Linked DNA regions of Struthio camelus. The protein of the gene in region 2 interacts with the protein of the main gene of each other region in a pairwise test. Links are inferred from orthologs where the notes say so. Each region holds a gene or a part of one and is shown on either strand. Other genes may lie near its edges.

Region 1 (7,125 bases), on a different chromosome or scaffold from region 2:
AGGGTTAGGATACTGTGCTGATAACACTGATGTTTAATGGATACTTCTTTCCTATACAAAAGAAACAACCCAAACATTTTTTTAGTAATCAAAAAAACCCAGAACAACAAAAAAGCACACACACACACACCACACACATGCAAACAAATAAAAGACACACCCACCTCGAAACCCCAAAGAAACTAGAACTGAGGGGATACTTAAAAGTAGAACCTCATTGGCAAGCAGCACACCTACTGCACTGAAGTCTTCACTGTAATACCAACAATAAGGTGGTCTTCCAATTATATCCAGAGATAAATCTAGATATAACTGGATAACAGCCTGAACAATACTAACATCACAGGGACTCTGGGGTGCCAGATAGTAAGTAATAAAGAGGGATTGTAATACACATACTGAGCAAGATACTTGAACTGTATGATCTCACCACAAAACTAAGTGGAACAACTTGCTTAAAAAAACTAATAAAACCTATTTCAAGAACATCAAAAGCAAGATGCCTGCCAAACAGTCTGCAGAGCTAGTCGATGTTCAAAATACAATTGCAGTCTCAAAGAGCAGAGTACATTTGAAAGGCTAAATGCATTCCTTGCATCAGGGCTGAGATTACCTGGATCTTAATGCAGTAAGACCTTCTGCGCTGCCCCTCCCGCAAAGAAGAGTTAAAAAAAAAAAAAAAAAGCCTGGAGTAGCACACAATAGTCATTCAAACGTCCTAGAAAAACTCAAATACAAGACTGCTACCTATCACCTATATTAACCAAACATGCCTGGTACCAAAGAAATGAAGGGCAGTAAATGGGAAACTTAGGTTTTTTGATTGTTTGCAGTCCTGGGATGGACTCCCTTAATGAACCATACAAGTAAATGTAATCTTTGTACTTGCCAAGCAGGAAAAAAGTAAGAATTTAGTATACAGACAATTCATAAGGAAGAGTCAATTCTGTAAGAAACTTTTAAGAAGTCCCACCTTATAGAACTACTACAGTTCACTGAAAGAGTCAATGAGTACGTAGATAAGAGTCGATATATTTATGAACACTCAACTTGGATTTTCAGAAGTCTTTGACGAGGTCTTTAGTCCTATGCTTTATTTCCTGTCTTTTAACTAATAAATTACCTGTCATCTTTAGCCTTTCATGAATTTGGAAAACACTGCAAATATCATGGTTGCAAAGTTTCATCAACAATACCGAATTATTCAGAGTTACTAAAAAAACCTGACAAATTGCAGAAAGGTCTTAGAATACTGCATACCAGAATGATAAAAACAGATACTCAGTGGACAGTATACCTGTGCAATTATTCGCCAAAAGGCCTACAGTTTGTTTACACATGTAAACAGTTTCATGATGAGAATGGATAAGCACTTGGAAGGAAGATTTACTGAAAGAAAGATTCACTGTTTAGCTTTCTGAGCCACATCAGAGCTGAAAATGGCTGATGGATGTGAGAATACTTCAATGACATATCATCTGTGTTTGCCCTGTTCTTATTCTTCCCTGAGCATCTGTTTACAATTGCTGCTGTAGACAGGACAGTGGGCTAGCTGGACTCATGGCATGAATTCGCACGGCTATTCTATATAGGAAAAAGTGAGGCACATTGCAGACAGGGCAGAGGGGAAGCCCTTGATTTTATTTTTTTTTTTAAACCCAAGATACGTCTCTAGATTAGTCGTTAGGACACAAGAGGGACCTTGAGTTTTGTTTCTCATACAGATGAGAAACATCAATTCTCAGTGTTCAAAAAAAAAGAATAAATGAACAGTGACCAGAGAACAAAAGAGAATAGTGTCACTTTATAAATCCACTGCACTACTGCATTTTGAAGATGATATACAGTTTAGGTCCTTCTAACCTCACAAAGAAGGACATCACAGAATTTGAGAGGATATAGATGAAAATAACGAGGATAAAAAGGTACAGAATGTCTTTGCTGTCAGAAGAGCTTGGAAAAGCGCTAACCAAGAGAACATATACAGATGACACACACGAGGAGGGATAAACAGGATAGGATTAGTCACCATTTCTCATGGCACAGTTACAGCAGAGTAGCAAATGAAATAAAATGCCAGTCTCAAACAGCCACTTGAAACAAATACAAGGGTTTTTGGTAAACTGAAGATTTTTTTCAGCATAGCGGAACTGTATCTACACTACATACTTTGATACCACTATATATCTACATATGCACACATATAGTTAGAAAAGCAATTACATAAATTCATAGAAAAAAATACTTAACAACTGAAAAACAGAAATTGATCTCTAAGTCAGGAACTCCCGAAACCTCAGCTCAAGCAAGGGGATCTGTTAAGGCAAGCTTGCCCTGTTCCTTCCCTAAACCTATGGCCACTTTCAGGACTTCAATCCAGCAGATTTCAGCTACTACAGCTGCTCTTATGAGTTGTTTGTAGGTTCTGTACGAGAAACGCTGCCCAGATTTTTCTGTTCTGCTCAAAACTGCTAAGACTTGCACTGGAAAAGGGAGCGCTTCTTAGCTTTTCATCTGCATGGCTACCTTCCAGCCCTTTTCGACCCCTGGGGATCCCTTGGCCTGCTAACAGAGCTTGGTAGCAGGCCATATGCAAAAACCCTACTGGGAACAATCCTTAGACTGCAGGTGTGCATAGCACAACACTAAGGCCTGTATTCTCTCAGCTGAGCTGCAGTTACTTGTTTTTTTCTAAAAGACCAGCTGTCAGAGGAAAAAAAAAATAAAACCAGGCATCTGAGCTACCACTTAAGAGCGCTAGTTTTAGCTTTAACCGTTGAAAACCAAAGCTCAACAAGTGTTACGTCCAAACATGCAAGGAACCGGGAGACACGGAAGCAAAGGCCGACAACGTTTTCAAGCCTTGGAAGGGGCCACGAGGCGTTTCTGGATGCTTGTTGCCAGCAGCACTTCCAGTCCCACTGGGAGCAGTGCCGGGAAAGCCGCGACTCGCCCCACCCGAGGGCGGGATCCAGCTCTCCCCTCGGTTAAGAAAGGCCTGAGAGCAGCTCTCGCACCCGCAGGTGCCGGCGCGGCCAGGGGCGTCGAGCGGGGCCTCGCACGCCGTGGGGGCCCCCAGTGCGGCCGCCACCCCCGGCTTCACCCACCGAACTTCGGGGGCGTCTTGACGTCCACGGCCGCCTGGCTGCCCACGCTGTCGGAGACGATGGCCACCTGCTTCAGCACCTCGTCGTACCTCACCTGGACGTGGTCCAGGCGGCGGCCGCGGTCGGCGCCGCTGACGGTGACGAGCACGCGGTCGGCATCCGGGTAGCGCTGCGGGTCCAGCGGGCGCACGCTCACCTGGCAGGGCAGCCGCACCGCCAGCCGCCCCCGCGGGCTCACCGCCAGCGCCCACTCCCTCAGCGCCTTACCGCCGCCGGGCTCCGCCGAGCTGCCGCGGCGAGGCCCGCCCGCCGCCAAGCCACCCCGCCGCCCGCTCCCCTGCCACCCGCCCGCCACCAGAGACGCCCAGCGCGGGCGCAGCGCCCTCATGGCGCCCGGCGCGGCAGAGGCCCCCGAGGCTACGCGGGGCACGGAGCCATTTCCCGCCGCGACACGGCGGCGGCAGCAGCGCGCAGATGGGCACCGGGACGGCTGGTAAACAGCCGTTGGCGGCGGGCCCGGCCGGAGCCTCGCGCCAGTCCCCGCCCCCCTCCACCGAGGGGGCTTCTGGGAGACGTAGTTCCCCCCCCCCCCCAGCAGAGGGAACTACAAGTTCCCGAAAAGGGGCGACAGCAGCCGTACGCATTGACCTATGAGCGAAGGGGGGGAGGCGGAGCTTTTCCGTGTTCTGCTTCTATAGGGCAGCGGGAGGGATCCTAGGGCCAATGAGGAGCGAGCGTGACGGGCGAGGGCGGTTGAGTAGTACGAAAGGAGCGGAGCCGGCGTTGCCATAGGAACGTGGGACGCCGCTCCGCGCAGCCGGGGCCGGCCGCGGCCGCGCAGGTAGGGCAGGGGGCCGGGGCCGGGGCCGGGGCGGTGGGCCAGGCCGGGCCGGACCGGACCGGACCCCGGAGCCGGGCCTGGCCCTGCCGGCCCGGAGGGACAGCAGCGGTTGGGGTGGAGGGGGGGCTCGGGGCCACCTCAGCCCCGCTCGAGGAGGCTGCGAGGACAGGCCGGGGCGGCCTTCCCCCTCGCGGGGCCTCCCGCGGGGTCACCTCACGCGCCAGAAGATGATTTCGGTGCTCTCGAGGCCTTTTCCGTGCTCTCCTCGGGCCGGTCGTGGGGCTGCCGAGCTTTAACGTCCAGTGCGAGCGCCGGCGCTGGGGTGCCTGGCTGGTTTCCAGCCTGCTCGGCCCCCTGCGGCCCCCGCGGCCGCAGGCAGGGGGCGCGGCAGCGCGGGGCGGGGAAGGAGGAAAGGGTAAGGCCTTTGGGCGGCACCCTGCTCTTCGCTGCGCTTTTAGCCCGCAGTGACGCTTCACGTGATGAAATGCCCTTGGTCAGAGGATAAAGAAGCAGTTTACCAGATATGCTGCGAAAAACATTTTTCCAAAACAGTGTTGCGGAGCTCAAAAATTACGTGCTGTCAAGATAGCTTGGTTAACACGTTATTTATTGTGACTGCTTCTCAGACAGGCAGCCAAATAAATATTTTCCTTAGTGCTGTGCAAATGTGTCATGAAACAACAGTCCTTACAGGGTTTACCAACAAGTGGGGAAATACAGACTTCAGTTAAAGAGACTTTTATGGACTTCTTAGTCCACATTAGTATTATACAATAATTTTTAAAAAGGGGTGTGGATGAGCATAGATCATGTGAAGCTGGAGATTAAATTCCTGTTGTAGGTTTCCTAACAGTAGCTTACTGCCAATAATGAAACAGGCATAGAAAGGTGTGCGGTCTTAGCTACATTGCAACATAAGAAATAATGAAATCTAGGATTGTTGATTGGTTTGCTCACTCTTTTACACTCCATGTGTTGTTTCCAAAAATAACTATGCAAGCCATACAATATAATATTTGGTTTTAAGCTCTTTTCATCTTGTTAACTTCACTTCTGTTATTATCTGCATCTGGGAGTGATTATTTTTTAGTCCAAAATGACATTTAAATCTCTAATAGGAAAGAAGCTGGTCCTAGTTTTTTTGTCTTTCTGTAATTTTCACTGTAGAGAGTCTAATAAGGATTCATATTGGTCAATGAAGCTCTTCAAGTTAAATTATTTTGTTGGTTTATGTTATTCAGTCTCAAAAATCCTTAAATGAAAGACAAAACAGTGACGGTCAGCAATATGCTAGAATTCTAGAAAGACAAAAAGAGATTAAGACATATCTTGGGGCATGAAGAGGGCTATAAGTTAAAATTGTCAAGTCTTCAGAAATAGTTGCTTTTGGAAAAACAGTACAGAATTCTCCCCCTGAAACCAAATACTGAGTTTAGCTGTTGGTTACATAATTTGACAGGGAAGCAGTTACAGGCCTGTTAAATGGTGGTGCAATGAACTATGCTTCCACCAGATGACAGGCCATTCAACAAATAACTCTATTAACCTCCTACGTTCAAAGCAAGGAATTCCAATTTTTTTTTCAGGTGAGGCTTGACTGATGCCACACATTTCTCCTGAAGTTAGTGCTGCTGTGTCCTTATCGCAGTTTCCTGTCTCCTCTCAAACCTTAGCACTGCTGCCCCGCTGCCCCCCTTTCCTGCAGCATCTTGATAGGGCATTTGATGCTGTCTTCTTGGAGCAGAGGTTTATCAGGTTGGGCTCCATGCAGTGCTATGCATCATTTCTTATGCATCATCTTTAATATTGGCATGTCTCATGTAATTGAGAGTCTTGGTTTGACAAACTGTTCAAAGATGCTGAAGCCCTAGCTACCTATATATTTCACCGTTTTATGGGTTTGTTTTTTCCACTAGACACCTGTTAGAGGTATAAACACACTTTAAAATATATTTAAGAAGACTGAAGAAAGCAGGAAAGGTTCTACTGATGTCATCTGTATTTGAACTATAAAGTTAATTCCATTTCACCTTCATGCTTGTGACTGAATTCTACTTGATTCCATATCAGCTGGTATGGAGTGTGGCAAATTAAGTATTTCTTACCATCTGTGCAACAATAAAATGAGATTTATTTTCACTTTTAATTTTCTGACTTGTCACCTGCCAGAAAAGAAACCTTATATCAAATTTACAAATGGTTAGGGATTTAATTCGATCTGCAATTTCAAGACGTCTGCATCTGTACAATAGGGTGGGTTAAACCAGGACCTGTGAAAGTAAGTCCTTAATGATTTACCATACTCCTTAGTCATTGCCAGATGTTTACGTACCTGAATGTTGTGGTAAGTGAAAGAATTTACCAGAATATTCTGTATTACATGCAAGAGACAATAAAAAGTAGACCTTAGGTTGCTTTATGAAATAGATTTTTAAAGCCAGAGCTATATAAGAGGAGCTTTTAGGCTAAGGGAAGTCCAAGAGAGATCTTAAGGAAAGAAGAATTAAAAGAAACGGTCCTCCAGGAGAGGCTGTAGAAGGAATACGTATTTCACTTTGACAGTTAGAACAAAGTGCAGAACAAGATCAGACAGCTTCAGAAACCCAAAGGATATAAACATTACTTAGTCTACTTGGGCAGGATTAAGGTCATCCATTTGCCATACTTGTAATGAAGAAATAATACAACTTCACTATTCAGTAAGAAGAGGCTGCCCTGCAGGAGTGTTCTTGCTGGAATTACGTTCCTGCTGATGTTTACCTGCAGATGAAAGAACGTATCCTTTCAACTTGCCATCTGGAGTTAGGGCAAGATTTACCATGTACATGGCTAGTCACTACTTAGTGTTTCTTCATGTCATAAAGCTCAAGATGTTTGGTATGAGGATTTTTTTGTGAAGTTTATTAAAAATTCTTATGTATTTCTATTACAAAATATTTGTATTACATTATTGTAATTCAGTTTTTGTTTTGTAAATAACATTATTCTGTAATGTTTTTCTGGAACTACTTCCTTGAGCCTTCTTAAGTTCTCAAGTCATGCCTAGGGCACAATGTTGAGCAAACCTTGTTTTTTTTCTGTGTTTTCTTTCCTGTATTCTAGTGTGTGTGTAGGGATGGTAACAGTCCCTTCTCTGAGATGGTAGAGTGAGGCTGTCTCCAGAACACATAGCGGTTT
Region 2 (7,982 bases):
TCCTTGCCACAGATAGGATGAAAATCTATTCTCTCCGTACAGAAAGGTACCCCACTTGGTTACTGAGTACTGTCAGGGTCTTGAGGGGATTCTACCCTCCTAGGACTTTAGATGGCTCAGTTAAGGAGTTTATCTGGCTAAGTCCAAGGTCAGTTCTTTTACTATTAAGAGCTCTTATGAAGAAAGTTAGTGAGGCCCAGTCCCTCCTTCCCCTAGAAGATACTTTCAAGCTGAGGTTCTCTGGCTGGGCCCTGTCTGTGCTACATCATAGCTGTGTGGTGGCTATGTCTGCACCCAGTCTCATATCCCCTCGATTCCGACCCCGATCCTGACTTGACTTCCTGACTTGACCTTGGACCCAATTCACCACTGACCCAACTGGGCAATCATTGGTCTGTGTCTAACCTTGTTTACTGTTTCAGGATCTGATCCTGACCATGACTTGCCAGCTTGACTCTCCAGCTTGACCTCAAACGTACCTTGTCGCTATAGACTTGTTTGAGGATCTGAACTCTCAACTGAACGCGGCCACCTTCACCACGCCTGCTCTGCTCAATCAGATACTGTGAGACTGGGCCCTTGCTGGTGAGGGCATTGCCTCTGCCTGCCTTATAACCATGGTCGGCTCCTGGCTCCCCCCTTCCCTTTGGGAGCAGCCTGCACTTGCTGCCCCCTTGCAAGTATACTTGTAATGTTTTCTCTCTTCTTTCCGGAAAAGCACTACCTCTCCAATGGAGTATTGAGAATTGTTTCTGTGAGCTGGATCATTCCTTCCACTACCTCAGTAGTAGCATCTCGTACCATCTTCCGAAGAGTAGTACCTGGTTGAGATTGAGAAAAGAGCAACGATGTTGCAACAAAAAGACAGCAACGACAGAAAGCAACTGCCAAAGATGAACACACAGGCAGCTCCATTCATGCAGACACATGGTATAAATAAAGTTACAGGTATTTTGAAGGAAGCGATGTTTGTTCCTGAGTTTCAAAAGGACTTTGGGCAAAATCTCAACGTTTTATAAATACGAACACTCAATCAACTATACCTCTTCCTACATTATCACTCTTCCACAGCTGGAGATCCGCAGAAGTAGACAGTGGAGTGGTTCACTCACAACCATGTTGCAAGTCTATGGAATAGCTGACAATGGGACTCTCTTTGCTCATGAAAACTTGATTTCCTGTAGATGCCAGGTCTCCTACCGGGCTCTGAGATACTGGGCTTCATCATACAGTGATGAAAGAACTGGCACTGCCCTGCTGTTACCATCTCACCTTGGCCTTTAGGGAGCGAGTAGTACACTGTGGCAACTGCAAGAATCGCATTTTGGACGTCTTCACTCAGCTTCCGACAATCCTAAAAACGGATAGGCAAAAAGATTAACCAGGAAAAGTGCATTGCTGCGTTCCACTTAGAAAGTCTCACAAGCAACCATTTAAATCCAGATTACTTTGAAAAAAGACTGTAGGGAAGCACAGCAATGGCCAGCTGGCTCAAGAAACAAATACAGCACAATGGTAAGTTACGGCATTTAAGCGTTTCTGAAGTCTACAAGCACAGAACAGAGTAATTTGCTAGAGTTGCAGACTCATTGTATGCATCATGAATTTCCTCACAGTTTAGTAACAGAAAACACCCGCTAGTCTGGTGGTTACGCATCAGTGAGGAAGAAGCGGCTTAGATCACTGTTCTGAACTGGTGGTCTTTTTTCCCCTCTTTCAAGCACAGGTGTGTTAAAACTTCTCTCAATTAACAGCAAAAACACTTCCATTCTTAGTTAGACCTAAGATCCACATTGCCCAATATACTGTCTCCACCAGCAAGCAGTTGTACGTGCCAAATAATGTTAAAGAAAGGAATATAAGAATACTTCTATTTGGTATACCCCTCCCAAATTCCAGAAATTAGCTCTTTAGACAATTTTTGAACTGGATTAATACATTCTGCAACCTATAGTCCACGCAAATGTGCCCTGTTTACATTAAATCCAACGACTCTATTTTAGTCTAGCCAGTCAGGAGATATCTGAAACTTATCATATGCACTGCAATTTCACACTCTGTGGGGGCTTTCACACACCTCTGCAGAAGGCAGTGGAGGCCTTGAGAATGCAAGACTCAGCTTCGTAGCTTCCTGTGATGTTGCTTTGAATGTCTGACCTAAGAATGATCCAATGGGAAAAAGACATTTATCAGGATCTTAAGTAAAAGATGAAAAAACAGAGCAGCTAGATGAGCAACGTCCTCTCTGATGCTGCTTTGCCCTAACATCTACTCTCTGATTACTGTCTCTCACTTCTAAATATGACAAGAATGTAAGCTACAGCAGAGGAAAAAAAATCCACATTGCAGCTGTGTCACACTAAACTGTCCATTCTACTTTTTTACTTAGCTGGTTCTGAAATCCATTATCACATTTTGTCACCTAGCCCATGCTACCTTTACCAGGACACGCCAGGAAGCTTTAACAGAGACCAAAGCCTTTAAAAAGCTCGGTCATGACGATCACTCCATACTGCCCACTGCTTTGTCAATGACACCAGGAAATCGAGGACGAGGGCAGGAGCCTTGACTGGAGACTTTCCTGGTGACCTCTCTTGCAACTCATAGCCGTGCCATGTAACAGCACCACGATGTCCCAGCTCTGCCACTGACACCACCCACAAAAACTGCTAAACGTGTCTGCCCAGTGCCTGCCCCTGCCCAGCCCAGCTCTGTCCCCCATGGTGGCCTGGCCCTGCTCCAGCCCCGGCCCCGCTCTGCTCCGCGCAGCAGCCCGACCCAGCGCCGCCCTAGCCCGGCCCGCTCCGTACCGAGCGCGTCCCAGAAGCGCGGCGGCTCGAACGGCTCGCGGCCCTCGCCCGGTTCGCCCTCTGCAAAGGCAGAAAGAGACCTCAGCCAGGCCAGAGGCGGCGCGGCCCCGGCCCCGGCCCCGGCCCCGGCCCCCACCTCGGACCCGCGCCAGCACCGCGCGCAGCGCGCCCCGCAGGTCCCGCAGCGGCTCCCGCGCCTGCCGGGGCCCCGGGCCCGCCGGCTCCATGGCGGCGGAGCGGCCAGCGACGCTCCCTCACGGCCGTCACATCCGCTTCCGGGTAGCGACGCGGGAAGGGCGGTGCCGGCGGGGGCCGCGCCCCGCGCTCGGCCCGTGGCCCGCGCTGACAGACGAGACACAAGGGAGCACGGATACACTTTATTAACGACAAGGGCAGCAGCGAGCCCGCGCGGAGGCCTCTACAGCAGCCTGCGGAGCTCCTCGAAGTTGAGCAGGTTGTTAGCTGTGTCGGACCAGGCAGCGTGCGTGGCCCCATCCATCTCGGGGGCCAGGCTGTTGGTGCTGTCCAGAGTGTGGTTTGTGCCACCAATATCCGCACGGCATTCGGGGCACTTGCTCCTCTCCATCGCACCCCCGCACTCCCCAATGACATAGATGTGCCCATTTTTGCACTTGAACCAGTGACCGCGGGGACAGCCAATAGCACTGACAATCTGCACCCGCTCTGCTTCAGAGATCCCCAGCCCTGACACAGGCAGGGCACTGCAGAGCTTCTCTAATCTAGCCTTCACTGCAGCCTCATCCTTCTCTGTGAATTTCTTTGTCCCTTCCAGGATCTCACGTACACTGGCAATCTCTTCTGCAAGGGCTGGGGTGATCCTCCCACTTGCACCTTTGCACCTTGCCAAGAGGCTCATCAAGTAGGTCAGTCTCTGGATCTCAGCCTGCAGGTCAGAGAGCTCCTGCCCTGTAAAACTGAGGCGTGGCTTATCCAGCCAGTCCTGGACTTCATCCAGACGCTTCCTCAGCCCTTTCCTCTCACTTGCATCAATTTTGCTCATCGAATTGGTCAGATCAGCTAGACGGTCATAGAAGTTAAGCTGGTTCTCAATTAGTCCGATACTCTTTGTGGACAGAACAGAGGCTCTCAGTTTATCTTCCAGCATAAGGTACTTAAGGGGTAGATTCCTCTGCAGAACAGCATTCTCTGCTAGTGCAGCCTGCAGTCTTTGTCTGCTAGATTCAATTTCCTGTACTGGGCCTTGGATTTTCTCTTTCACTCTCTCTATCTCATCCAGACGCCTTTGCACAATGGTGCCATATCTCAAATTCTTTCTGATAGGTGTCTGACAGACAGGGCACACCTTCAGCTTGATAACATCATCATCTTCATCCATATAGTGGTCAAGGCCTTGGGACTCAAAAACATGGCCACAGTCTTCAAGCTGTACAAACCGAGCATCTGGATCCTCCTCAAAGCCAAAAAAGATCTGCGTGACTTCTTCATGGTCACAGACAAGGCACTTCTGTGGGCAGGGCTCTCCACACAATCCAATACAAGGGTGTCCACAGTGCAGTAGTTTAGTACACGGTACATTGCAACGAGGCCTATTGCATGGCTCAGAGCAAAGATTGGTACACTGATAGTGCTGACATCGCCACTCACATGGCTCTGCACATGGAAAACAGCGCTCTCCACATTTCTTTTTACATCTGCTGTGAATGCAGTGGTTCTGACAGTCCAGCTGACATGGAGGGCATTCGGTAGTACAAGGCTGCTGACACTTGTGGGAGCAGACTAAGAAGCGCTTGCATGGGCTGTTACACGGCTTATGAAATCTTCCTTCAAAGCAGGAATGACAGGAACCCGAGCATACATGACCACACTCCAGCGTGACAGAACACTTAGTTTTACATTCCACAGGCATCCCCTGTTTCATCTCCTCAGTGATCCAGCACTTCACTTGCTGGATGTGGCCACATTTCAGTGCAACTGTAACCAGCTCAGGACACCTTGTAGTGCATTCCTGCCCACAGAATTTGTTGCACCTGTGCCCACAGTTCAACTTTTTCTGACAAGGTTCTTGGCAAAAAAACTCAGTGTCTGGAGTAGAGCACGGCACCATCTGTCGGTGGCCACACTTGGAAATAATTTTCTCAACTTTCACCATGCAGTGTCCACAGGGCTCATAACACAACTGCGGACAGCGATGCCCGTTTGTACAAAGCACCTTTTGACAAGGCTTCAGGCACTGATACTCTTTGTGCTGTGTGTCATACGGGTGACATGCCCTTGTGCAAACATGTCCACAACTCAACCTAAATTCACAGGGACGACTACAACCTCCTTCTGGGACTTTGCTGAAGTCTGCTGCAGTAGATACCAGTGTCTTGGTTTCAGGGTGGTTTTGGCAGCAAAGCATCAAGGAGCGGCCAATGTGGCCTTTCTCCCGGAGGGTGTGAATGATCTTGCTCCAGAGAGGAACCTTGCCAAGCATTCTCATATTTCCAATACAATACAACCCTTTCTTAGCTCTGGATAATGCTACACATATCCGATTAGAGATCTGCAAGAACCCTGATCTCTCCTCTTTGTTGCTCCGCACAAGCGACAGCAGGATAATATCATTCTCTTGCCCCTGGTATTTATCCACTACATGAACCTTCACACCTGCAAAGGTCTTGGCCGGCATGAGCTTACGCAGACAGAAAAGCTGCCCAGTATAGGTAGTAAGAATGGTGATCTGAGAAGGTAGATAATCCTGACACAAGAAATACTTGCACAATTCCACTACAAACTGGGCCTCATGTGGGTTCTGGTGGCTTTTCCCTTCCTGGATCTCTTGCTCAGGAAAGTCATGCTCCACAAAGAAGAGGTTAGATGAGACCCCCTGAAACAAAAGAAAAGAATCTCAGAAGTAGAATTCTACCTTCTGTCTCTACAGCCTCTTCCCATATCTCTGATTATCCCTTACTAAGATTCTTTAAGTATGCAGTAACCACATCCTGTAGTCCTCTCCTAAAATAATTGCCTCTTAGATTTCCATAGTATATTCATCAGAGGAGACTTTGAGCTGATTAGTGACATTTCCAGTAGTCACTCAATAGTCATCAACTGCAGGGGTTTAGTGAGTTATCTGCTCACCTGTCCAAAACTTCCATTTGCCTTGGGTTAATGGGGACCTTCATTTTTTTGCCTATTAACTGGAATTCTTCCACCCACAAAGAATTCTTGGGCTGTTATACCAAAACACAGAGACTGCTTTTTTCAGGAAAGAACACTTTTCGTGGATCACACACACATCTCTGGTTTTCCAAGGTGACCATAGCTGCAGTAACTGCTGTATACTTTAATCTAGTTGTCACCTCTGTTGGTTACTGTACTAGATAAGAATCTAAAATGATAAAATTATCATATCTCAGTTTTTTGTTTTTTTTTTTTTAAAAAAAGGTCAGATGGGATCATAACATTCTCCAGAATAGCTTACCTTATAGGAGACCACAAAATTTTATCCTGTTTCTCCTGACCTAAGTAGCTATTTTTAAATAAGGCATCTTCTACAAAATACTTCATCTGGATTTGAAGATACAAAGAAGGGACATGCAACTTTATCCTAGAGACAGCTTATTCTAGTAAGTAATCATCCTCACTATTCATTTTCTCCTGCCTGGCTTCAGCATTTTACAGTGGTTTTTGGTACACCTATCTCATTCACTTAAAGAGCTTTCATTAACGAGTACTGTCTTTTCACAAAGAGATCTAAGTAGACTAAGTTACTGTAATCCTCTCTGTAACCACCTCTAATTCTTTCTCCCAGGGTATTCAGTTGCTTGGGTTCCAAGGATTCAAGACCTAGCTCGGACACAGCATTGCTGTCACCTTGACTCAGAATTCTGAGGAAATTGTTAAGTTGTGACAGAGGGCTGTGCAAAAGTCTGCAGAACAGGGCTATGCAAGATAGGGCAGGTAAAAGTTACATAGGTACGATTGTTACTAGTTCAAAGATAAAAAGATAAGCACTAACACAGAAAGGTATAAAATCATAACTGGTGTGGGGCAGGGAAATAAAAAAAAAAAATCAGAAAGGAGGGAGTTAGTGGAAAATGGAAGCTCAGTAATATTGAGGAAGCAGCAGAGGCTGACCTTTCCTCTTCTGATTGAGGCCTGCCTGACTTGCAAAGACATTTCAGGCATCTTATGGTGAGGCAAGCATACCAATGCTCAGCTTAATAAATCATTAAATTCTAGCTGTTTGGTTGCACACGTTAGCTAACAACGATTAGTTTATACTTTTAAACTGCATAGATCCTGCTTGCAGATTTTGTGTACACGTAAAGGTGCCAAAATAAAGAACCCAAGTAATCAAGTCACCTATCTTATGAGGGAGCTTCACAAATTATGCTCTAAGTCTCTCGTTTAAGATTTCTTCCTAGCTTTCAATCACATACAACTCTTTTGGTCCATCTTCCTTTTTGTCTGTTCTTTTACAGTCTTCAATACTGGATCCATTTACAATGCCTACAGTTGCTAATGCCAGACAAAGTTACATGTTATTTGCCTAATTCTGTATACCTTGTTTCCTTGATTTACATATCAGTTTCTTTAGCTGAACTTGATTTAAGAAGTTAAAATCCTTAAATACTATTCTACAGAAACTTGTTTTAGCCAGTTACAGAGGACAAGAGAAAGTGCTTGACTGCTGAAAACTCACTTTTATGTTTTCATATTTCAGGACAGATGGATGGTTCTCCAGCTCCTGGTATATGTGGGGACTGAGAAGCTGGGCAATTTCAGGACGCATGCGGTGCTGAAACACAAAGCAGCAGCCTATCAGTCTTGAGGAAGAAGCACCATATTTCCCTGCCAAGAATCTGTTGTTTCACTGTAAAGACAGCGGCCAAATGCAAGACAAGGGTGACTTTCCAGTAAGAATCAAGATGAGAACCCTCCCTCCAACAGCAACTTCAAGGTGAGTGTTACCAAAGTACCTTCATGAAAATCACTTGGCAAGGCTGTTGTAATAAGCATGCTGGTCTCACTGCAATCTAAGGAGAACAGGGTTCTAGATAACAAAATCCAGCACCTCACCCTAACCACTACATGATCTCTTCTAGAGAATTTTAAATCCAGGACTGCTGGAGGAAGAATCAATTTCTCCAGATACCAAAAAAAAAAAAAACCAAACAAAAAAACACAAACAAACCCCAACAA

Evidence for each region. The genes of interacting proteins can lie anywhere in the genome.
Region 1: the proteins of CCNDBP1 (region 2) and CCDC146 interact in binary tests that used the Homo sapiens proteins (3 or more experiments, as listed by UniProt). The two-hybrid records come from large-scale screens. The link is inferred for Struthio camelus from reciprocal best matches to the Homo sapiens genes CCNDBP1 and CCDC146.

Annotation. Positions count from the first base shown.
Region 1 is NC_090942.1:14,107,335-14,114,459, reverse strand, and holds the start of CCDC146 (coiled-coil domain-containing protein 146), read left to right. Parts: upstream 1-4,047; 5' UTR 4,048-5,548; coding exon 5,549-5,703; intron 5,704-7,125. Other genes in the region: protein FAM185A, read right to left, coding at 3,108-3,495. UniProt on the Homo sapiens protein: Essential for sperm flagellum biogenesis and male fertility.
Region 2 is NC_090959.1:19,674,330-19,682,311, reverse strand, and holds the start of CCNDBP1 (cyclin-D1-binding protein 1), read right to left. Parts: upstream 3,090-7,982; 5' UTR 3,038-3,089; coding exon 2,947-3,037; intron 2,871-2,946; coding exon 2,811-2,870; intron 2,158-2,810; coding exon 2,078-2,157; intron 1,355-2,077; coding exon 1,273-1,354; intron 822-1,272; coding exon 725-821; intron 1-724. Other genes in the region: ZNFX1 (NFX1-type zinc finger-containing protein 1), read right to left, coding at 3,229-5,661, 7,483-7,578. UniProt on the Homo sapiens protein: May negatively regulate cell cycle progression. May act at least in part via inhibition of the cyclin-D1/CDK4 complex, thereby preventing phosphorylation of RB1 and blocking E2F-dependent transcription.